3 linked regions of the Lepisosteus oculatus genome follow. The protein of the gene in region 1 interacts with the protein of each later gene in a biochemical or structural test. Links are inferred from orthologs where the notes say so. Each region holds a gene or a part of one and is shown on either strand. Other genes may lie near its edges.

What was found.
Region 2: the proteins of fgfr2 (region 1) and fgf7 form a complex in vitro, tested with the Homo sapiens proteins (3 studies listed by BioGRID). The link is inferred for Lepisosteus oculatus from reciprocal best matches to the Homo sapiens genes FGFR2 and FGF7.
Region 3: the proteins of fgfr2 (region 1) and fgf10a are reported together in a solved structure, tested with the Homo sapiens proteins (3 studies listed by BioGRID and IntAct, with this or other methods). The link is inferred for Lepisosteus oculatus from reciprocal best matches to the Homo sapiens genes FGFR2 and FGF10.

Annotation. Positions count from the first base shown.
Region 1 is NC_090699.1:29,546,343-29,554,476, forward strand, and holds the start of fgfr2 (fibroblast growth factor receptor 2), read right to left. Parts: upstream 3,127-8,134; 5' UTR 2,414-3,126; coding exon 2,352-2,413; intron 1-2,351. UniProt on the Homo sapiens protein: Tyrosine-protein kinase that acts as a cell-surface receptor for fibroblast growth factors and plays an essential role in the regulation of cell proliferation, differentiation, migration and apoptosis, and in the regulation of embryonic development.
Region 2 is NC_090700.1:43,789,990-43,797,858, forward strand, and holds the start of fgf7 (fibroblast growth factor 7), read right to left. Parts: upstream 3,001-7,869; 5' UTR 2,807-3,000; intron 2,207-2,806; 5' UTR 1,916-2,206; coding exon 1,630-1,915; intron 1-1,629. UniProt on the Homo sapiens protein: Plays an important role in the regulation of embryonic development, cell proliferation and cell differentiation. Required for normal branching morphogenesis. Growth factor active on keratinocytes.
Region 3 is NC_090698.1:16,463,583-16,471,192, forward strand, and holds the start of fgf10a (fibroblast growth factor 10a), read right to left. Parts: upstream 3,057-7,610; 5' UTR 2,514-3,056; coding exon 2,225-2,513; intron 1-2,224. UniProt on the Homo sapiens protein: Plays an important role in the regulation of embryonic development, cell proliferation and cell differentiation. Required for normal branching morphogenesis. May play a role in wound healing.

The sequences.
Region 1 (8,134 bases):
ATTGCAAATGAAGCCTCTTTTCAACTTTTAGAATAATTTGGCCAGACTCTCATTTAATTGTGTTAAAGATCATTTGGGTTTTGTTTCCCTTCCCTCAAAATCATTTTAAAATCCATTTTGAATTTCTGACGAGAAAATAAGTGTAAAAATAATCTTTTTCTAATATAGTCAATTTTCTATTGGTTTTCTATTAATTTCAGAAAAAATACGGTACACACTTGAAAACATGAGAATGAATGTATTTGAAAGAGAGTTTTATGTATTAATAAACTATTTCTAATGGATTATTATCCTGGAAAATACTATGAATTACTACAGTAGACGCAGTACCTCCCGAAGAAAATACTTAACGAGGTTTTTTCCGTATCTGGCAATTAAAACAGTCTGTTACAACAGCAACATGAAAGCACGAAAATATGTCTGGAGATTGAATGTTTAGAATAAGAGAATTTTCACAGATGTTTTTGGTCTATACTTTAATGGTTATTTTACATAACAAAGCCCTACAAACTGAAGAAATTTGGAGTTCAACCCGTTTCAAATGCAGCCACTTCAAACAGAAATTGTACCACCGTCAATGCTGGAAAAATGAAGTCGGTGCCAGCGGGGACCGCAGCGCCCAGTACTCCAGAAACTGTAACCGCTGTGACGGACCGGTCAGTGGATCAGAGAGGGGCACACTGCTCTCCATTCCGACAGCCAACAAAGGTCCCATTTATCACAACACAAATACTATCAGTCCGCGTGGAAATAACGATATGAATTGTGGTTTTATTAAGTAACATTATTTCCAACACAAACTGAATCGTGTTCCGCATCTTTCGCTTTCTCCTAGGAGAGGGGACTGCCGTGAATAATTTAATTCTACTTTCAACTTTCTTGATTTAGCATTTATAATTTAAATGTCATTATTATCCCTTTAATGATCCATTATCTAGCCCCACAACTCAGATATAAATCCTCTCGGAGTACATCGGCAATGAAACCGCATTTCCTACATTATTTGCTACAACGCGTTTTAAATAATCGTAGTAAAAATACGAAATACAAATAACAGGACGTTTTATTTTAAAAACCCGATGGTCAAAATCGGTAGCTCTTCACGTTTATGGACAAATCGAAAATACCAAACAACATATCAAAAAGTTATACTGAGGATACTATATATTAAAAATAATACAAACTGAAGAAATCCATTCAGATAGTGTTTTCCAGGAGTGTTTTCAGATAGGAATAACCTCACGGTAACAGTGGAGTTTATCTCACTTTTTAAGGATCACTAGACTACAGTTTCAGTCAATCGATGTCATACAGGACTTCTTGACATCATTTACTAATTTTATTCACTTTAAATTGTATGACATTTTTACGCATCTTAATTCGAGACCAGGTTTTCGATCAGATAGATACTGAGCATGATACTTATTTTAATAATTCACGTATTTTTGTTTCGTTGACTTTTTTGTAGCGTGCAATAAATACTTTTCTCGTTTAGAACCAAACATCGCATAATCTTCCAGCTGGAAGACGCTGCGCTCGCACTGAATAGGCTGCAGTAATTGCGTCTTGGAGAATCTACATTTGTATTGAGATTGCTAAGTGAAGTTCTCAAGCGCTGATTGCATTCTATTGAAATTCAAATCAGATTCACAATGAAAACGCTTGTCAGTCGCGGAGATTTACGGCCATCACTCAACTCAGGCATCAACATCAGGCAACTGTATCTTCTATAATCGTTACAATAAAATTACGTTTTGCTTTAAAGAATGAAATATTTTAGTGACTTCTAGGGTTCTTCATTTGAAATAACACTTTCACGCCTCAATATTAGTGTTATATGGACATAACAACACAGCCAAATCATCTTCTGAGAACCCAAATGAAATACTGCAAGTGAAGTTGTATTGCAATTAATATCTGAGTATTATCAGAGAATTGCTACAAAACATGCATTATCGCTTTCCAAAGCAAAGTCTGAATTTTATTCAATAAAACCGAACAAAACCCACTGAAATGAGAACTGTATAAACACGAATCAATGTTAATAATGAGTATTAAAATAATAATACACAAAAATGAGATTTCTATTAAAATATTGGCAAAGAACGAGGGCCATTGGGAAAAGTTCAGTCATATACTTCCAGAACAGGTACGCAGGAAACCTAATTCAAACGTTGTTACGAGTTAAGTGTAAAATCATGCCAAAAATAAAAGAAAACAACAGTCATGCACGCGGAGGTAACATGTGCAAACAGCACGAAGGATGCTAAAGCATCTTTACTTTGGCACGAGATTTACTCGCACAACTATTCTGGGCATCTTCAACAAGCGATGGGTCCAGCGATAGTTACCTTGAGCGTTTAAGAGCCTTGGAGAAGCCGATCCTCATGCACTGTGCAGCAGGCGTGTGCATGAGCCGAATCAAAGCGAGGAATGCGTGTGAACTCCCACCGGGACAGCTCCCCGCTACAAAAATGCCAGACTGCGCTTTACTACTCCAACTTCGCCGTCACCGCGCTCTCCACAACAGCACCGAAGAACTGGAAAATCCGATAGCCGTGGAACAGTGCAAGCATGACCCTTCAAGAAATCCGGAGTAACCCTGTATATATATATATTTCCCCGAAGACAACTGCAGTTCCGAGTGAGGTCCAGGAAAACTTTCTTCTCTGTTGCTTCACCACTTTTTTTCTTTAAAAAAATACTTATCAACAGCAAAAAATAACAATAAATTCTTTTCCAGCTCTGCAAACTCAGATGAAAGAACTAAAAAGACGGATCCTGATGTAAAAGGCGACGCTATGAAACCTCCAAAAAGTGAGCAAATCCATTAAATTACGATTCTTGTGTTTTGTATGCCTTCTTCAAGAAACCTTGCTCTAATCTCAAAAGCTTTGTCAGGTTTACAAAGGTTTTTTTTCTTGCGTCCCCCCCACCACCATCACTGACTCTACGAGCCCCCTCCTCCGGCTCGGTCTAGGGTCACTCCCCCTGTAACCTGAGATGTTTCCTGGGCAGCTTTCTTACTCAGCCCGCCTTCGCCAATCAAATCACTTCACCGGTCTCTCCGGCTCTGTTAGCTGAGCCCAATACGCTGCAAGCTCACAGCCCGGCGATTGTGAAGTTCTCTGGGTCCGGGAGCCCAACTTCATTAGGAGCCTCTCGTTCTTAACAACGCCTCCAAGCGGACTGAATAATAGCTACAGAGAGGCAGGCAATAAAGTTAACTCTTCGAAGTAACGACCCAAGTAATAGTGTGCCGATTGAAGGGTTTTATTCTTGTCTCCGGACCACGAGTTAACGCGACTAACGCTTGATTTCTAAGTTTTCTTTTTTAAGACCAAATGTGCTGAAACTTCAGTTCATGATGTGATGATTTCTCACCCCCAAGAATTTCCAGATAATATCATGGGGTAGCTTTTATAGACAGCAGGAAGTGAGCCAAGCAGCCCAGTAATACAAGTTCTCTAAATTATTAGTCTTGCAGTTAGTGCTGGTTATTATTTCTAGAGTTCAGCAGGACTACGTGTTCTTGCATCCCTGCCTTGTCCAATAATTACCTTTAAGAGCCAAACAATCAGGGACTGTTCACAGACATTATTTTTCCCAAAGAGCTGTCATCACAACAGTGACAACCAGGGTTTGTGGCCACCTGTTATCAGACCGTCACAGCACTAGCGTACTCAGGATCACAAAAATGGTAGAAAAAAAACATACCTAAATGTATCCAGGGCCCCAAACTATCTCAGCAGGACCTAGCTGCCTTTCACATCAGTTTTGTTCTTTTCAATGGATTGAAAGGGAGAGAAGGATGGGGGGGTAATCTCTTCACAGTTTTTTTTTCTGTGAAAGTAGCTGGAGCCTCTTAAAAACCAGTCCCCACTGGCTGTGAATGGGGTAGCTAATAAGCCTATTAATGAATCCTTGGGGTGTGGTATGAATGGGCCAATAGGCCTCTCTCCACAGAGCCTTGCAGGACAGCGCAGTAAAGCCATCAAGGACTAAAGGTGACAGTTTGGGCTGGGAGGGGAACAATAACTCCAGGTTTCCAGGGAAATAAAAGAGGGACAAGGCTACCATTCAATGGCTCCCATACCCCCAGCTGAGTTTCATTTACCCCCTCCTTCTCTTACCCCCTCTACTAAGTCTGGAGCTGTCCCCAGTTTGTCCAGAAGCCATTGAAATGTCCTTTCTTTCAGTGGCACTCTCCTAATTCGACTGCAGAGCGACACTGGAAGACCAGAGCTCTCCAGGGAAAATAAGAGGTCATAATGTGCCATGGCTCTACACAGATTGCACAGCACGGCCCTGCCTCAGCCCCTGTCCTGCAGACAATACGGCAGGATGAGAAACACCTTGCAGTCCTTTTCAAGCAAGACAGAAAGCTTCAAAATCAAGGAGGCTCACTTTTGTGAAGGAACAGCATCTTATTCCCAGCCTCCCCATTTTCCAATTCTTCTGAAATGCAAAAGAAAACTCAGCTTCCTGAAAATGCAGAAGCAATTCAGCGGTTTCCCTGTTTGCTTTTAGGTCTTAAAAGTCGATATTTAAAACACCATAGCAATTTATACACACAGAGTACAAAAGCAAAAAACGAAATGTGAAATGATGGAAAAGAAATCCTGCACAAGGAGAGAAAATCTGATATCTGTTCCAGCAAACAGTCTTTTGTATGTAGATGTTGGTTGCATTACTATTTTCATCACACATATTAGTTATTTTTTGCAGAGATGTCTAATTGACGTATTTGATCAGGCAGCTTTGAGCCACCTATGATGATGGAGTTACCCAGTTATCCAGTATCTGGGCTCTCCTCATTATTACATGCAGTTCTCCTAGGGAGTGGAGCACTTTAGCTACGGATTAGTGAAAGGTCTAGAATTCTCCAACCCAACCCACCAATTCATAAAACATACAGATAATTATGTACATTTAAGCTTCTTTTTAAGTTTATACTGTATGTTCTAATTTGCTTATGTAGTTTTCCTGTTTTTAAGTAGACGTTCAAGTATTTTACAATAAGTATACACTATTTTTTTTCCTCCAGACAACTCTCAGAGCATCCCTTATTGAAGTTTTGTCAGTGTGTTTATTATGGGGCATTTACTTTGCTGTGCTGTTCTGAGATTCAGTTTACTACCCATTGCTCTGCTTCTATCAGCTTATACTTGTAAAGGAGATGGCCTGCCAATGTGCAGATTCCCAGGTTGTCTTTACTTCGCAAGGCAATCCCAGTGTTGCAAACTTCTAAGAGAGTCAGAATTGTGTTTCCAAATTAAGATTTTCCCAAGCCAAGTAGGATATGAAAAAAAAAAACAAGGAACTTTAAAATTGAGTGTTTTTTGGTTTGGTAATGGCATAGTCACACTTTCCATATACTTTGATCGGGAACAAAATCACAGACACCTCAACATGTTCTTACCTAGGGGTGTCCTGGCGTAGACTCCTAAACAGTGTCCAGAATGGTGTCTGTCTCAGGCTCAATGTCATTAAACCCAGTGAGAAAAACTGTAGAGAGTGAGTGGATGATCTCTATAGAATAATTCCTACCCTCTGCAGCAACTCAGTGAATGCCGGTACCGAAAGTATGTACTCTGCATGCTTTCATTCTGGTCAGTTACGCAGTGTTCCACTTTCCTTCACAAAAAAATGATACGTATTGCTTAGCACATTCATTTAGACACAGAGGAATCTATTCATTTATTTAAGCAAATGTTTGACTGGTGGATTCAATAGGATCTCTGTATGGGGATGGGTACTTTATATTTGACAGCTCATTCTTTTTTGTGGCCGTTTGAATAGCAAGAAGTATGTCAGTAGCGTCTAGGAGATGTTTTATATGCATTCCTATCAGTAGAGTGTAAGTTACTACTGCTGTTTTCCTTTTTCTCAGGGGGTGGGGTGATGAGGGTCAAATTGCTGATTGGTAGCCCCTACAGATCTGCACTGGGTCTGCTTCAGATGACAGGAGAGGAGAAACAAACCAAAAACACTACCTGGTGAAAATTTCCATCGTATTTCTTCATGTTATAATTAAACCATCAGCACTATAAAGGCAGTGATTCATTTCCTGCATTAAATTTAAAACAAATGGAGGAGTTTAATGTGAACCATATAGGTTCCCCTTTCCCTGTACATGTACAGTACTGTACATTAATGTTTGGAAGGCATGAACATCCAGCACTCTGTCTGGACAATAAAAAAAGAGACTCAACAGGGACATTTTCAAAGCTCTTTACTCCAGATTAAAATTTGTTTCTCATTCTCTGAAAGTCATCAAAATTGTTTAAAGGCACAAATCTAACAAAAGATGACATTGGTGTGGCAAAGAGAAATAAAACATACATCCACACATTCTTCGACATCCTTTATTGTTTTGACCTTTGCCCTCAATGATCTTTCTTCTCTATCCAAGAAAACTGTTCTGTGTTGATCTTCAGGTGAAATATGTTGTCATTATGTTTCAAGCTAACAGTTTATAGCTATGTATTCTGTAGCACAGAAAGTAGCCATTTAGCTTAATAGATGTATGGAGAGGAAGAAATGATGTTAATGATGAAGCACACCTGACAGTATGTCAAAAAGATTTGATCTGGTAAATGCGAACAGGAAACATGGATCCAGTTCAATAAATCTTCCTAAAACAAGTAGAATGTTCTCACAAGAACTCTGTCTGGAAAAAACTGAGTCTGAGTTTGCACTGGTTTATGTTAGAGTTCATTTGAGGATAATGTTAGTTGGTATTAAAGTATTAGTGTCAGGATATGCCAAAAGCCCCATGTACAATAAAATATCCCTGCATTTTTATTTAGACATTGGGGAATAAGTACAATATGTTCTAGAAAAGAAGATGTTTTTTTATTTAAAAAAACTGCTAAAACTACATAGCCTGTGTTCATGATCCCACTGTTGTATTGTTTCCTTTATTCAATCTGAATTAATCATGACGAGCCACATATTATCGTGAAGTCTTACCAAAATATGCTTAATATTCCATAAACTATACAAGGAACTTGGTGAGATGTACTAAAACTGCAATGACATGGACATTAGTGGCTATGAGATTTATGAAAACAGGACAAAAAATCCAAAACGTTTCTCATTGAAATGGGCTTTCAGTGAATCCCCTGTGCCTGCTAATGACACAGACAAAAACAAGTTCTGCTGCATAAAACATGAGCCCGCAAAATGGATGACATCAACCTTCTTATGCAAATCCGGCATTTCTCCCCTCAGCCTGCCTGAAAACAGCTTCATCTCTCCCGCAGAAGAGGTCGTGAAAGAGCCTTCTCTTCGCGTGTCAATGGCTGAAGCCACTGCCTGAAAACTGAATGCATTTTCTAGGTGCTAACAACGGTGACCAATTGGCACCTTATCCTGCTCTCACAGTACTCCCGTTAGTCATGGTTCAGCTCTCGGTAAAGGACACTCAGTATTACCTCCTGAGAATCTGCAGGCTCCTTACTGAGGCCCATTGGCAACACAGGCAACCCATCAGTGGCAGCAGATTTGTTTCTATACTGTTAGAAAATTAATATCACAAGTTTAGAATTTGTGGATGAGACTGTGACATTGTTACCAAACTGCAGTATTAATTTTATGCGTTATTACTTTTTTATTTTATGTCTTATTTGCATTCCCTTTTCTCATTGTATAGTTTCATTAGATCAGGTTGGTTTAACGCTCAGGCTCTGCATGCCTCATGAAATGTTAGTATGGTAAATTTGCGAAGTGCCAATAGCTTTATGTTTTTCTGTCTACTATGCATTCACATTTACTTTTTCCGTAGTTTCCAACTGTTTGTGCAGCTGTTTCTTTGCCTTACGTTTGGTATGGCCTACTACACTTCCGTACAGTGCCGTTACTGTGATACACTACAGTGATGTGCTTACATGAGATCGCAGTTGCATTCATGCACACATTTATTGTACACCTGTACCCACAGACATGGCTGCACACTCATAAGACACAAACACAGCCCAGCAAAAGGCACCATTAAATTTATGTCTTTTCTGTGACACGATGACACAGCACTAATGAGGAGCCGTAAAAGCCAGGTCAGTTCTGTCTGTTAGCCATTTCTGCTGACCGCTGCTTCATAGTCTGCGCCTTTCTGATGATCTAAGCAGGAAGT
Region 2 (7,869 bases), on another chromosome or scaffold:
TTCCTGCTGAGTTCTCTGTGGGCAGCTCAAGCAAAGTTAACCACTGGGTCCTACCCAGGGTAAAAGAACACAAGAACAAAACTGTGACGTGACTAAGGATCAGACAAAATGTAATATAGCTGTCATAACTAATTTTCAAGTTTAGTGTTTTGCTTTATCACTATTTGATTTGGTGGTTTACTGGTTATGAATCTTTTTTATAGTTGTATTTTCTTTAAAAGTACAAAATACCAGTATTATTCTTCACAGATTTAAAGAAAAACTAAGTAACAAAAACTGTATTATTATTTATACAGTATATTAAAACTGCAATCTAAATCTCACTGTTATGGCTGTTGTCAGTATTTCAACTTGGAAGTGCGCATGCTAGAAAAACAAGAATAAAATAAAGTACACTGTTCAAATATTTAACACCTTGAATTGTTTATAAGGTTTAACTTCAGTTTTCAATTTCAGTTTTGAAATCATAGGAAAGATTAATGTTGTTATTTGGAAAGAACAGGTGTTGTATACTTAATAGGTGTTCAGGAGTATGTCCAGACAGCAGCAACATCTGTCTAGATTAATGCAATATACAGTAAGACATACTCGTAACTGGCTGACCACACCAAAACTGTTGTTGAACATTGTCATATAGATGCTTACAATGAGGTTGGGATAATTGCTTTTGGACACCCATGAATCTTTTAATACAAAACAGTCATGTCTTGTCGTAGTTATTTTCTATTCACAGTGCATGTGGTATGTTCCCATAAAACTGCGACATAAACACCCTTAATATCTTTCACTGTTGGATATCTAATGTACCTTAGTAAACAAGTGTCATCAATAAAAAATAGATTATGTGAGATGAATCAGTGCAGATTTGCTCATAGAAATCTAGCACTTTTTAATTCAAGACCGATTTGTATACAGTACTTTGTTTCAGTCTTTGTTTAGTGTGGGAATTCACTTTGCCAAGTGTGACACCTGGTTTCTTTTATTTCTGTCATTTTGGATGTCTGTGCTCTTTTAACTGCAATGGATTACCTGTTAACTAATGATGTTGTTGGGAATATAGTATGATAACAATATATGGGCAGCGACTGAACGTTGAAAGGGGTCATTATTGGATTGAAAATAATCACAAAATAATAAAAAAAACAATAATGACTCTCCGATGAGGTCAGAAAATATTTTTAGTCAAAGTGCTGTAAAATTCAAGTAAAAGAAGACCTGGAAAGCAACCCTAGGACTGGCCCCAGGGAATGATCTTAAATCTTTTCTGCACTTCTGCACTTTTCTGTTCTCGGTTTAGTCTTTTGGAAATTAAGACTGAATATGCCTAAAAACGTAATTAAAATTTCCAAATAAAAACTGCTAAGTTATTTAGTAGTTAAAAGTGTCATAATTTTGTTCTATGAGATCTGTGCAGCTAATGTTGAGATATTGATGAAAATTATTGGAAAACTTGGTAAGCCTGGATTGTTGTAGTTAAATATCTTACATTTATCATATGTTTAAGCATCTTACTTTTCAACAGCTTTATCTATATATTTATTGGATACAGATTGTGCAGGAAAGTTAATTTAAAGCAGAATTTAATTTAAAAAAACATGTTAATTTCATGGAAGAAAACAAGATACTTACTGTAGCAGTTGGTATCATCTTGTGTTCCATTAATTCTGCCAGCTTCATCAATTGTTAGAAACCACTGTGTTCTGCTGAAAAGTTGTCTGACTCGTACATCCCCTCCCTCCATATAGTCATAATTTCTTGTGTGCCGTTCATGTTTGGAGCAGTTCATAATTGCAGCCAGTTGCTCTGGAGTTCTGTCATTGCAAGCTAAACACACACTGCCCACTAGAAGGATAAAGAGTAAGTACAGTCCAGAGGGCAAAGTTGGCAGGTTCCATTTCAGCATCCATTTGCGCATTATAATGCAGTGTTCTGGGTATTCACGAACAACATACTGAAATAGAAATTAAAATGCAGATTGTTGCTGCTAGGTCCTGGACCTGACCTCTCGTCTGCACACAGGAGGTCTTCAGGACTTCTACTGGTGAATATTGTGTCAAGAAATGCTTTTGCCTTACTGAACGCCAAGAAGGTAGTTTTCTATAGTCCTCTTTTGTATATTTTAATTGCAGATTCAGACAACACAGAGCAATGCATTCTGCAGTACATATCGTTGGTGTTTGTGGTGACAGTCTTTTCAATATCAGAGCTGTAAAAAAAAAGAGCAGTTTTTACAAAGAATTATGGTCAGTCTTGTATCAGTATTACATCTGCAACCCCTGACCCAGAGGTCAGTCAGTATCTGAGACAATTCTCTATAAGAAAAAAATTAAAATGATATGTTGCATATTGTTGTTACATGCATTGTAGTTTCTGTACCTCTGTAGAAGCTGAAATTAATGAGTTGTTCATTTGATGTCTAAGCAGCATTTGATGTAAATTAGTAAGCATTTATCCTAACTTTAGTGCAAAAATCAATATTAAACATTTGCTTTAGGCTTTCCTTTATTTGCTCACCTCATAGTTGCAGTCATGCCTTTATAATCATTGACACTTTTGCGGCTAACCAAACACTTTCCGGAGAACTGCCCACAATTTCTCTCATTTAGTTGTCTGGACAGACTGGAGACTGGAGACTTTCAGTACCACCTCCTTGTCAGCTTTACACATGTAGAGCATACTAGAGCATGTCTGAAAAGCAACCACTTTCTTCCCATTGGTACCATTTAAATACAAAATTTAATCTGACAGCTGGAAACTGTGCAGAGAAAATCACAAAATTGTGTCATAATTTAACTTGCATACTTACTTTTGTTTTCAGGCAACAGCAGCAAATACCGCAAGTATCCTTTTTTCTCTTATTTTGCAATTCAAAAACAGTCTGAATCCAAACTTGCTCCTAACTTAGAAGAGGCTCCTTCAGGTTCAGAATTGTTCCCATGTATCAAGTGCTGACCCAAGAGGGGCTTTTCTGAGCATCTTCTCTCTGTTGTTATTCAGTGTACTTAGATAAATGCCTTTTGCTGACCTCACTTGAAAGCAATTAGATCTTAGCCAGTCAGCTGTCACTTGGATGCAGGATAGAAAAAAAAAAACTCAGTTTCTTTTTGTCAGACTTCCAGTGGTCATCAGAGGGAGCTATAAACTTGAAGAATAGCTTAAACTCCCATGGTGTGCATCAAAGTGTATTTCATTCACTTCTGAGACAGAAACTTGATGCCTTTCAAGCACACATTTAATTCAGTTGTATTTTCTAATTACCTTGTACCTCTACAGTAAGGTCGCGCATTTCAAAAGAAATTTGTTGGCAGTTATTTAAAGCAAAAGTAAAAATATACAAGTCGCTGAAACCATGATCTCGGAAATGAAATAACTCGTGTTAAGGGGATCATTTACAGTATATATCCAATATTCACACATTCCAAACAAATGTTTCAGAAGACTGCAGTTTTACTAGATTTGTTGATTCGTGGTGCACTTCGAGAACCGGAGAGATCTGTTGAGCTTGGGAAAAGAGGTGCTTGGTGTGGATTACAAGCTGTTTGCACGCACCTTGCAATTGCTCCAATTTGAAAGCTGATTGAAAACGCAATCAGGTGCAGTAATCTTCACAACAAAGCATACCACAGTGCTGCAGAGAAGAGTATAGAGGATTTATCTACTACAAGTCATAATTTCTCAGAGGTAACTGTTCTTTGAATGTTGTGCTTGTACTTAAACCCAGGATTTACAGTTTTAAACACCCGGACTTTTCTTGCACTCAACACTTCAGAAGTTTACATTGCACTTAATGATCTATTCCCTTAGGGAGGAGAACAAAGAGCATGCTGGCAACAGTTTGAGAACCTTTTGGATTGCAGACAAGCCTGCTTTTCTTAAATTAGTCAGCAGTTATCAACACCTGATGTGTTTAGATAGACAGATAAATCATAACTAGATTATTTCTAACAAGATCCACGAGGGCTGGTTTAAGGTCTGTTGGTTGTTTCTGTTTGTATCACCTAGGTCTGTGTTGATTAAGCAGTACCTCAAAGCGTATTTTAATTTTGAAGACAGCTTTTGGTAAGATACACCACATGTTTGAAATACATTGTATTTTTTAAGTTTTGCGATGCAGGATTATCAGGAAATAAGTGAATATCAATTAATGAATCATTTTAATAGGCTTTTACAGCATGACAGTTACATAACATATTTCTTACTAATGAAGTCATAGTAATGAACTTTTGAGAAATAGCTACCGAGTACAAAACAAGAATGTAGTCAATATATTTGTCATGGTATTATCTTTCAAATGTAACAGGATGTAAGTGTTGAATCAGAACATTAAAAAATGCATCATTTTGAAAGGTGTAAACGTTACCTACATAAAGCACTAAAAGTTATTTTAAACAATCCACATTTCAAGCCTTTTCTTGTGATGCAAGCCAAGAAAGCAACAGACTTCAATTGCTCTTGTATATAAAAGCTCTTCTGAACTTTCTTCCACTGGCGTAATTTATTTAGTGATATTTTCCCATTAAGTAAATATTTGTACAGAGTCTTAAAGGAATGGCAGAAGAGCCTTGTATTTTGACACTTTTATATGCGTTTTCTAAGAGATTTCGAAACTGGCACCAATAATATACGTAAGCTATCAAAATAAGGACCTATCAATGTCTGTCTCAATGACAATTTGCTTGTAGTTTATCTTACAGAGAATATTTCTGTGATTCAATTAAATGAAATAATGATTAAATAATCTAATGAAGTAGCTGGCACTCTGACATAAAATACTTTTAAGCTGGTAGCTTGTAGTTTTATGTATACGTACTGATCACCACTGTCCATGAACTGGACATTTTTTAAATAATAGGGAGGTAGAAGTGACTCACCCCTCTGGGCAGGTTAATTAAAAGGTTAAAAGGACCGTGTAAGTGATCACAGCTGTGTCAGACACTCACAAGGGACACAGTGTGGGTTTGGAGAGTCAGGGGTCCTGTCGGAAACATCCTAAATTTTGATCTGAAAAATACCTTGCAACTTCTAAGGTACAAAAATGTAAATAAATGTTGGTTTTATTATGCTTTATTCTTGTGGTGCAAAAAAGCATGTCTTCAATTTCTGCTTCATTGGTATCAAATATTTATGTGGTTGTTTCAAGCAACCTATAACTTGAACAAATAAAGATTAGTTGTCTTCAAAACTAACTTCAATTATTTCTTCTAGAATATCTCAGTATTCTAAACTGATGTTTAGGATTGTGAAGACTAGGGTGATGGAGCATATTTAAGGAGAGGAACTCAACCTCCGTCGGTTCTTTCATAAACAAAGTAGCATGTTGTTGTTTAATTTCTCATTTGGTTGTGATGCCTTTTGATAGTTTGTGAGGATGTTCCATTTTAAGCTGCTTAGCGTTTAGAGGAAAAGTGTGCCTACTTAGTGCCAGATGGCAATTGTCACACAGGTTGTTTAAGTTTATTGTTTCAAATTGTTGCATGTTGCAAGCAGATCAAAGAGCACTTGGTAAAGAGAACCAAATTACAAGTGATTAAAGTTTACAGTAGCAGAGGAAGCCCTGAGCCTGGAGGCATGCAGACCCTGCGTGAGTACACCTCTTTAATTTCTCCCAGTCTTTTTGTTTTATGGCAAATTGATTATTGACAAGAGCTTGGGAACTCCGGAAATTATTTGCACATTTTGAAAAGGTTTCAGACAATAAAGCTATACCTGTTATTTTAATGGACTACCATTGTTAAATCTGACACAGTTATTACAATATGAGAACACTAACATTATTGCAATGGGACACGCAAACATGCCCAGCACTAAGTAGAGTAGTTTAAACTGAGCCAATATAGTTTCAAAACAGTTTTTACATTAGGGTGCTGTGCACAACTAGAGTGTTCTCTAACTTTAACTCTATTTACATGTACTAAGACATGTAAATACTTAGTACATTTTCATGTACTTGTACTTAGACAAAGTATTGAGCATTTTTTGTCATTTAAAGATTAAGGAATAAATAGCTCATTTTAAACAGAAATTATTGAATTTAAAACAGATTACTACTAAAAGCATTACTATGATTAAGATCTGTCTCCGTGTAACTGCTGTCTGTCATAGTGATGATAAATATTCTGGGTTAAGCTTAGTAAGGTGATCAATTTGCTGGTAGGTAAATACTTAGAGCATTTATTCTATAAAACTAATCCAAAGTTTCATCATGCAAAACCAAAAGGTTTTAATCCTTGTGCCATGGAAAGGAATCACATCTGTCCACTTCAAGAAAAGTAATAGTAAAAGTGTTTAAAGGCAAATAGAAAGTGTACTAGAAATGTTATAAGTCATCATCAAGAATTCCTATGAGGATAGTTTCTAGTATTCCATGCTATTAAAACTAAAATTGCTTAGTAAGTTAAATAACAATGAATAAACAAAGTGTCCTAGGAAAGATTCTAGATGTTCATAATAGTTCTATTATAATCGGTTCTAATCATAATTTGTTCTATTATAGGATAGGAAATAAAACTTAAATACGTAAATCTTTACCTGCAATATTGTATGGGCTTTACTAATATATAATTTCTTTGCTTGGTTTTTATCAATCAACTCTATTATTTTGATCTGGCTTACAAATGAGTGCTTATACACTGACAAAATTCACTCCATATGCTAAACAAGTACTTTAACACAATAAAGTCCAATTAAATCACTGTTCTCTTAAAAGATTTCGTAAAAGGAAACATTGCAGTTGGTAACATTTTACTGTTTAATAAACACTCACTCTGTTGTGATGTAAGTTTATACAGCTATGCTTTCATTTAAATAATGGACTGTGTTTAAGGTCAAACTATTATTAGACATTGGGTTTAGCTGGAGTTGGACTATGCTGGTGAAGGCGCTTGAGCTTCTGAATTCCATAATAATTGAACTGCTTAGGGAGCAGATGCCTTTCTACATTTGTCTATGTACTGTATAAGCACATTGCATGCCAAATACAAATGCATTGTCTTTTTGGCCTGGAAATGTTTTTAAGAAAATATTGATATATATATATACATATTCACAATTTAGAAGACCAAGGAAAATGTAGCTTTTAGAGTTATTTGATGGGTGTGAAGGTCTTTTCCTGAAAAGAAGATGGTGTCTATATGAACTTCCCTTTCATCATCAACATTGTCAGTACACAAAGGTAAGGGCTGGGTATGAAAATGTAAGTTTCCTATCAACCTGTCTGTTGTATTTTAGCTGTTCAGTGCACAGACTAAAATTTTAAGAAAACAGTTTATGGTCATGAAGGCTAACATGACAAATATACACACAATGTTTGTTTCTAAAGTAACTGTCTAGTATGGAATATAATTGTATACAATATTAAAAAGAAACCATTTCAAAGTAATTGTGAAAAAAACACTGTGATGTTTATTTCAATAACAAATGGCAGTTTATTTTTTAATCTTCCAGAAAACTAAGTGACTTACATATAACTGAGAATCTACTGTAATTGATCTTGTTCTTAGGGTCATTTTAGTGTAGTATTTCCAGGCAATTTAAATTGTACTTATTTGAGGCAACAGGGTTTAATTGATGAGATCTGTTTTAAACAGTAGTCTTCAAAGAAGGGACCTCATTTTCAGCCACTGGTTGCTTTACCTTACAGCACAGGGCTGTTTGAGAAACTGGCTTTTCCTGACTAATGAAGTTTGCTCTTTGAAGCTGCTCTTCCTTGATCCCAGCAGAAGTATGTGTTAATGCAACAAAAGGTGACGGATTCTTACAGTTCACCAACAGGAATGAGGTGTGAAACGTCTGTCAGCACTGAAGCGTTTTCTGCTGTTGTGCCTGTTTCTCTCATGCAAGGCAGAATTATGCCTTGGCTTTTTTTTCAGC
Region 3 (7,610 bases), on another chromosome or scaffold:
TCACTACATGAACAGAGCAGCATGTGACCATTGTACCAACCTGCACTAAGATCTATGGTTTTACACTCTTGCTCCTACAGATACCATAAACATAAGAGGGATTATCTGTTCTGCACGGAATGCATCTGTTACAAGGCTATTATGTCAGATAAAAACTCATTTGCCTAACATACTGTATGCCCCTGAGCAAGTCAAAGTCTACTGAAGGAGACCTTCCTGCTTACTTGCGTTTTTGCCAATTTAATTTTATCAGATTTAATATACTGGATGAAATGTATTATTTCATATTATTTAGTATGCATCTTAACCCTTTAGTTGCCTCTCACAGAAACAAAATTTATTACCACCAATTTATTCAGTACATAATGCAAATCATTCATCTTTAGTCTATATAGAGAAAGTAGAAAACAAGTAGATAGAAAAATAAGTTGATAATTTTGCACGTTTACAACAAATTACAAACAAGGATATTTTTTCATATGCACACTTTATCATAAAATGTGATGACATCCTTTGATTAATTCAGAATTGGGGCACACAACATTTTATATTTTTCGTGGAGAACTCATTTTGTATTTAAATTATAAACTTCAGAAGAATAGCCATTTCAATCTGAAAGCTCAAATTTAATATAAAGATTACTGTGAATGATATTTACTTTTTATTCTTGCTATATTATGTAACACACTATAAATAAGAAAACACTTCTTTGTTGCACATTCTAAAAAACACACTATTTAGAATGTATCAACCATTGCCTGAGCACTTCTAAAGTTTAAGTGCACTTTTCATTTTATAGACAAGGGTAATTTAAGAGGACTGCAAATCCACTTACGTAAACGAATTAACCTAATCAATTTTGATTACTTTTTGCTTAACATTACAAAACAAAGAAAGAGAAGATACAAGTCCTTCTTCAAGCTTCTTAAATCCATATCCAGTACAGCTAAACAACATTTCAATACTTCCCTATTGAAGTACAATTTCTACCACGTGTAGCTCACAAGATAGTTTTTAATTAACGAGCAGAAATGTGTGCATGAGGTGTAACCAAAGTCTTGATGGAAGAAGAACAGTGGCCAGGTGGGTCTCAAGTTGAGAAATGTTTATTCTACAGAGAATGTTGTACTCTGCTGTAACGCAACAGTACTCTGCTGTAAAAGAGCAGTACTCTGGTATAAGACACCAGTACTCTGGCATAAAAGAGCAGCACTCTGGTATAACAGAATAATACCCTGGTATAAAAGAGCGGTACTCGGATATAATGGAACAGTACTCTGTTATAAAAGAGCTGTATTCTGGTATAATGGAACACTACTCTGGTATAAAAGATCGGTGCATTTATATAAAAGAGCAGCGCTCTGATTTCAAATAGCAGTATTCTGGTATAACAGAGCACTCCTCTGGTTTAGAAGATCAGTACACTAATATTAAAGAGCACCACTCTGGTGTAAAAGAGCTGATCTCTGGTACAAAAGAGCAACACTGATTTCAAAGAGCAGTACCCTGGTACGAGGGAGCAGTACTTTGGTATGATGGGGAGTCTATTTTTTAGCAGCAGAACTAATAGTAAAAACCATTAGAAAACACCATGTGTGCTACGGGCAGCATGAACACTAATATACAGTTACAGTGGGGAAGGGAAAATGAAGACAAATAGTGGTCATGGTGCATTACAGCCTAGCTTCTTCAGACTCTCTGATCATTTCAAACCAGCATGAAGTGCAGAAATAAATAATATCTGAACCACAAGAGACCCTCTTCTCTTCTAAAGAAATTAATGTTTAAAGTTTTTAGAAAAACCACTGAAATGGCACAGCATAATTGTTTTCAGATTCCGTCTTTCATACGTGAACAGCCACTGATTAAAACATGCAAATGTAAAAAAAATATCACAAAGGCACTCTATTGATGAGAGCACAGAAAAACTACAAGGCTTTTTCTACATTTTCAGAGCTTACTGCTGTAATAGAAAATGGAAGAGACAGAACGGCAAATTCACAAGCTCTCCAGCTTCCGTTGTGATAAATTATTTCACTGTCTTTTCTATCGCAAATGAGGGACACCAAACATAAGAGGTAACAGGGTATTATCTACAGTTGTAAATAGTTTCTTGCAGTGTTAAAACATTACATTAATCATTTTTCAGGACATCTGAGTGGAAATATTTAGTCTCATTCTCTCACCTACATCTGGAAGAGATTTGTTAGGATAAGTTACTTACTGTAGGGATCATCCTTGCTCTTCGTCCCATTAACTTTGCCATTTTTATCAATCCTGAGAAAGAACTTCTGGAAGGAAAAGAGCTTCCTCTTGCGAACGTCTCCTTGGAGGTGATTGTAGCTGCGCACATGTCTCCCAACAACCACAGAAGAGTTGGTGACCCCTGCTGAATGCATGTCTTTGCCGATGTCATTGCAGGTGATAGACACAGTGTAGATCAAGACAAGCAGGGAGACACAGGACAGGTGTGAAAAGGCTAAGGCACCCTTTGTCAGTATCCATTTCCACATTGTACTGAAGCTCTTGGGACTGGAAAAAGTCTCACAGAAAGAAACATACTGGAATACTGGGGAGAAGTGGAAGGAGGCAAGTGGAGGTCCCGTCGCTTGTTATCCCCTCTCTAGCTCCTCTTTCTGTCGAACGGAGTGCACCAACATCCATAACTCAAACCACCTCCAGCGTGCAGCCTGAATTCCCCCCCCTTGAAGGCTCCTTCCTTGAAACAGAAAGTTTTCACAATAAATTTTCTCTTGGACCCAAAAAAATAAATAAAAGGAAAGCAAAGAAAAATCCGTAAGTGTAATCCCTCTGAAGTCTGTGGGTTTTATATTGTCGGGAGTTCCCTCTGTGAATGACGCTTCTCCCCCCCCCCACAGCTGAAGCACTTAGGGGTTTCTTGAACACAGCCGATCTCCTCTCCGAAGTGTCTGATTCGTGTCACTCTTTTCACCTTATTTATTCAGCACAGGGACCAGATGTAATCTCTTTAGCTAATTGGCAGTCTATGAAAAACAGTTGGCTTTGAAGATGTGTGTGTGTGTTGAGTGAGCGTGTTTTTTCTCTCTCTCTCCCCCCCACCCACCCCCCCCACACACACACACACCAACCACCACCAACTTGCTTAGCAGTAAACAGGTCAGAGACTGGTGAATAATGTCAGTGATTATTCTGCCGAGGTGGGATGTGCCTACAGAGGTAGTTGGAGGTGGTAGTCAGTCGGTCCCTTGGGTCAGAGCAAAAGAAGACATCTGAAACCAGGCAGCAGAGTTGCAAAATTCCTTAAGGGAGGGGGGTGGGGTTGGAGCGGGTGGTGGGGGGGAGGTAGGAGGGGAGGGGAAGTTCAGAAGATTCCCAACTGCTACCCCTTTTTGAGGCAGACTTTCAGCCCTGGCTAATTGCTCTCAGTTTTTCTTTTTTTTTCCTCCACTAAAGGCTGGCCAACAGAATGGGCTGTGTACTCATGGCTTTGCTAATCTCTCTGTCTCTCGCACCGCATCCAGCTCCCTCTAGGGAGCCTCTTTGTTGGACAGACTTCCCAGTGGCCACTTTTTTGGCATTGAACTGTTTTTAGAGCCACCTTGAGCACATTGCTTTGTGTCCTTACTTAGTGGCTCCTTCCACCCTCTTCGGTTTTTAATCCTCTGTTTTCATCTCTTCTGCCTTTTCGATATGGAGAGAGAGGGTTCCTTTATTTACGCCCTCTGTGCACGGAATGCAGTATCGTACAGCAGGCTAGCCGGACCAGATAAATTACTGTCTGTAAAACAAAAAAAAAATATATATTTTCTTTCTTTTCCTAATTAGCGAGAATTTGAAAGCTAAAGTTAGCCACTACCAACAGCCTCACATCCCATCTCCTAATATACATATATTTACTTTCTGTTTCCACAACAGTATCCAAGCCCCCAGACCCACCAATAACATCCTCTACCACTCCCCTCCCCCCCAGATTTCTAGAAAGAAAACAGACATACACAAACAATTTGCAAATGCTAACGAGCTATTTGCCAAATAATGCTTTAACATGAGAGCGAAAAGGGACCTTTCCGTGTTTTGAAAGATCTCATCATAAAATCTTGGTCTTAGAATCCAGTGTCTGAATTGTTTAATTTCCTTTTCACATTTTATTCTCAACCCATATCTCCACTGCTTCTCTCACAACCTGTTTCTAAACAGCTTTTCATTTTTTTTTTGCAGACAAATAAATATTTTTTGTGTTTTGACTGATTCTCTGCCAGAGCTGTGGGTTATATTTCATGGCATGAAAACAGCTTCTCCTAGTCCTGTAAATCAGACCATTGCTAGTTTTTAAATGACAGTCCACCCAGGTATAGTATGAAGTCAGATTTTTTCTCTAACAAAATCATCATCTACTGACATTTTTGTATTTATTTCATGTTATCCTAAACCCTAGAATGACCTTAATAATGCTAAAAGCAGGTGAAGATTGTCAATATAACCGCATGAAAACAGACTCAAAATATTGCATTTATTTACTGCCAGTTCATCCTCCAGATAAACCAGACTGGAAAGGGAGTAGAATTCATATGGGTGAAAAAATGGGGTTGAAAAGTTTATGATCCTTCTGTTACAGTAACATAATTCCCTCTCTCAAACCCCAGCCAAATTAATATAAAATATATCGTTTTTAAGACACCACACAAAGTGAAACCCAGGGAAAGAATATTCAAAAGTTTACAAATTTTGATGAAACAGAGTAAGAAGCAAACAAGAAAATACATCTACTATATTTTAAATATAAACCATGACGCAAACAATGATTAATGACTATGTATATAACAGATAATGCTAAAAGAACCAAATGGACTACTCACTTGGGAAATTAAAAGTGATTATTCTGTTTCACTTTTTTTGTGCCAGAATGCACCACAACAGTATGTTAACTGTCGGCAAGTGCCTAAAATAGATTCCACTAAATCACTAGATTACCAGTAACTGAGACAAATATTAATCAGAAATTGATCCTTAAGTTATTCTTTCTTCTTAAACTACGGCAAGTATTGTTGCATTAAGTTTCAATCATTCTTCTTTGATCTTCTTCAGAGAGATACATCTGGTGTTGATTCTGTAATATCCAACAACTAACAACCATCAATGTAAACTATGATGGCTGGAATGTTTATGGCTGGAACTATATACTGTATGTAACTAGACTAACTAAGAGTTCTAACAGTTCCTCAGAAGGCAGATGCAACAATGAGCGAGCTTAAAAAAATCAACCAACAGTAGAAATTGATGGAAAAGAAGAAAAGTCAGCATCTGTTTAAGCCATGTCCCTGGTAGCTTAACTGACCCTGAGAGACAGTTATTATGAACCACAGAGAAACTGGAAACAATACTGACTTCATTATGTTGCACAGATGCACTTAAAAGCCACACAAGTTTTCAAATGAAAAATGTAAGAAAATTCAGTTCTATGATTTCTTATTAAACATATTTAGTAGATTACTTTCTGAAGCTGAATGCACGTACAGTATGGATATGATTTGATTTAGGAATTACACATGTGAAAACTGACTTTCACAAACTTAATTTAACTCTAATTACGATAAATAGATCATTTATTGACAAGATATCTAATTTAAAGTTAAGTTTAGTATTCCACGTATGCAACTTATTTAAAATAATAGGAGACAACAAACCCATAGTCACAAACAATAAATTGTTGGGACTTTTTCTTCAGAAGTTTGATGCTGGTTATCTTTATTAATTAAAAAGACTGGTAGTAGTACGATAACATTTCTACTATGTGGTCTAAGAAAAGAATTAAGCATAACCTTTTCTTCTGAGCAAATAATGACCCTTAGCACACTTTGAAGAAGAGTGAAGTCATTATTTTAGATTTGAATCACTTAATGTAACATTAGTTTAAAAAATTAATGAGTTTTACAAGAATTTCTGTTTTATGTGTGTACATTTTCAATAAATGAATCTTGCATTTTCCTAAACCTGTATGCTCCTATACATGAGGTAATTGTTTTTGTTTCTCTTTGGATAATGAAGAGAAGGTTACTACCTCCGGAGAATTGTGTTAGCTTGATAATAAAATATGAAACAGCTTCTAGCCACAGTAACAATGCCAAAACTGTGCCATGCAGTGAAACATATATCTTAGAAGATTGGATTAAGTCAGTGTTAAATGTCTGAAAAGGTCATAAGCTTTTCACTTTTATAAAATACTCTGCCTCAGGAGAAATACTGTACAGGGTTGAAGACTGAAGCACTTAGAAACTTCACTAGGTCCCCCTAGTGTGGTAAATGTTTATAACAGGGTCATGAAATTTATCTTGGAGATAAATGAGACCTCATTCTTCTTTAGATGAATCCTATCTTACGTAACATGTTCTAGGCCCGTCTTCTATTTACAGTTAAAATGCACTTCTTTTTTTCAGCTGTCAGCCTCTCTCCTGCCTATCTGTCTTCTCTCCACCCATGGCTCTCAGGTCTAGCCTGCTCTGTTGGCTTAGTGTCTAATCTTCTGCTTCAGGAAAGGAATGATGTTATCATTAGCTTCCTTTTGTTGTGTTTGCCTGCCCACTGCAGTAAAAGCGATTTGGCAGGAGCAAGAAAGTGCACAAAAAATAGGGTCAATTGATCCACGCTGAAGCAGTTGATTACCTTAGGTTTTTGTTTCTTTGAAAAATCGTTTTGAATAATTTTTAGGGCTTGTGCTTTTTGGTCTGTTCACATGCACTATTGCAGTGCACCCACAAAAAAGACAACCTGCTATTCAATTTTGCAGATTTCACTTAGTATTTGTAAAAGCTTTATTTATTTTTTTCAGTAATCCTAATGAAGTTCAGATGTTGGAAAGAAAACCTTAACTAAAGTAGTTTTCATCACACAAGAAAACAATTTGCTGGACATCTTAATGCCTTAGCTATCTTGTTACTCAGCACTACAACTTGGAAAACCAATATTTTGTTTCGATGGGCCATTGCAATACAGTGTCTGTCATCAAAACCGGGCCAGTCCATACCTCCCCCTTCTTCAGTGCAGGCTGGGACACAATGTTGAGTAACCTCTGCCAATGTTCTGTGTTTCAACCAAATACTGTGCCTCTTAGTGCCTCTCTGCACTTTTGCTCAGAGTGAATGGTCATTCAAGCTCTCCGAGTTAATGCATCTTTCTCACCTATATAAATTCAAGACACACCAACAGAGCACAAAACAAACCGCATACAACTGTTGAAAATAGAGAAGAGTTTCTATGAAAACTATATCAGAAAAACTATGATTACAGTATGTAAGATATGGAGACAATGTTTCACCGTTAGGAACTGTAGGTGACAAAAAGTATTGTTTTACTCATGAGGCCACAAGATAAGGCCAAGTAGGGGTAGCAGGACAGTAAATTATGTTACAAGGTTTTAAATGTCAATGTTTTGGGCTAAATGATTGGACAAGAAAAATGCAAGGTACATAATATTTGATAATTAAAAGAAAGATATTTTAAGGTACAGTACAAATCAGTATATCAGTATATCTTGGTAACTTTAATGATCCATAGCGTCAGGATATGACTTCAGAAAACTGGGTAACACTTGCTAGAACTGGCCAATTGTTCTTGTTCAGAAGAGTCTGCAA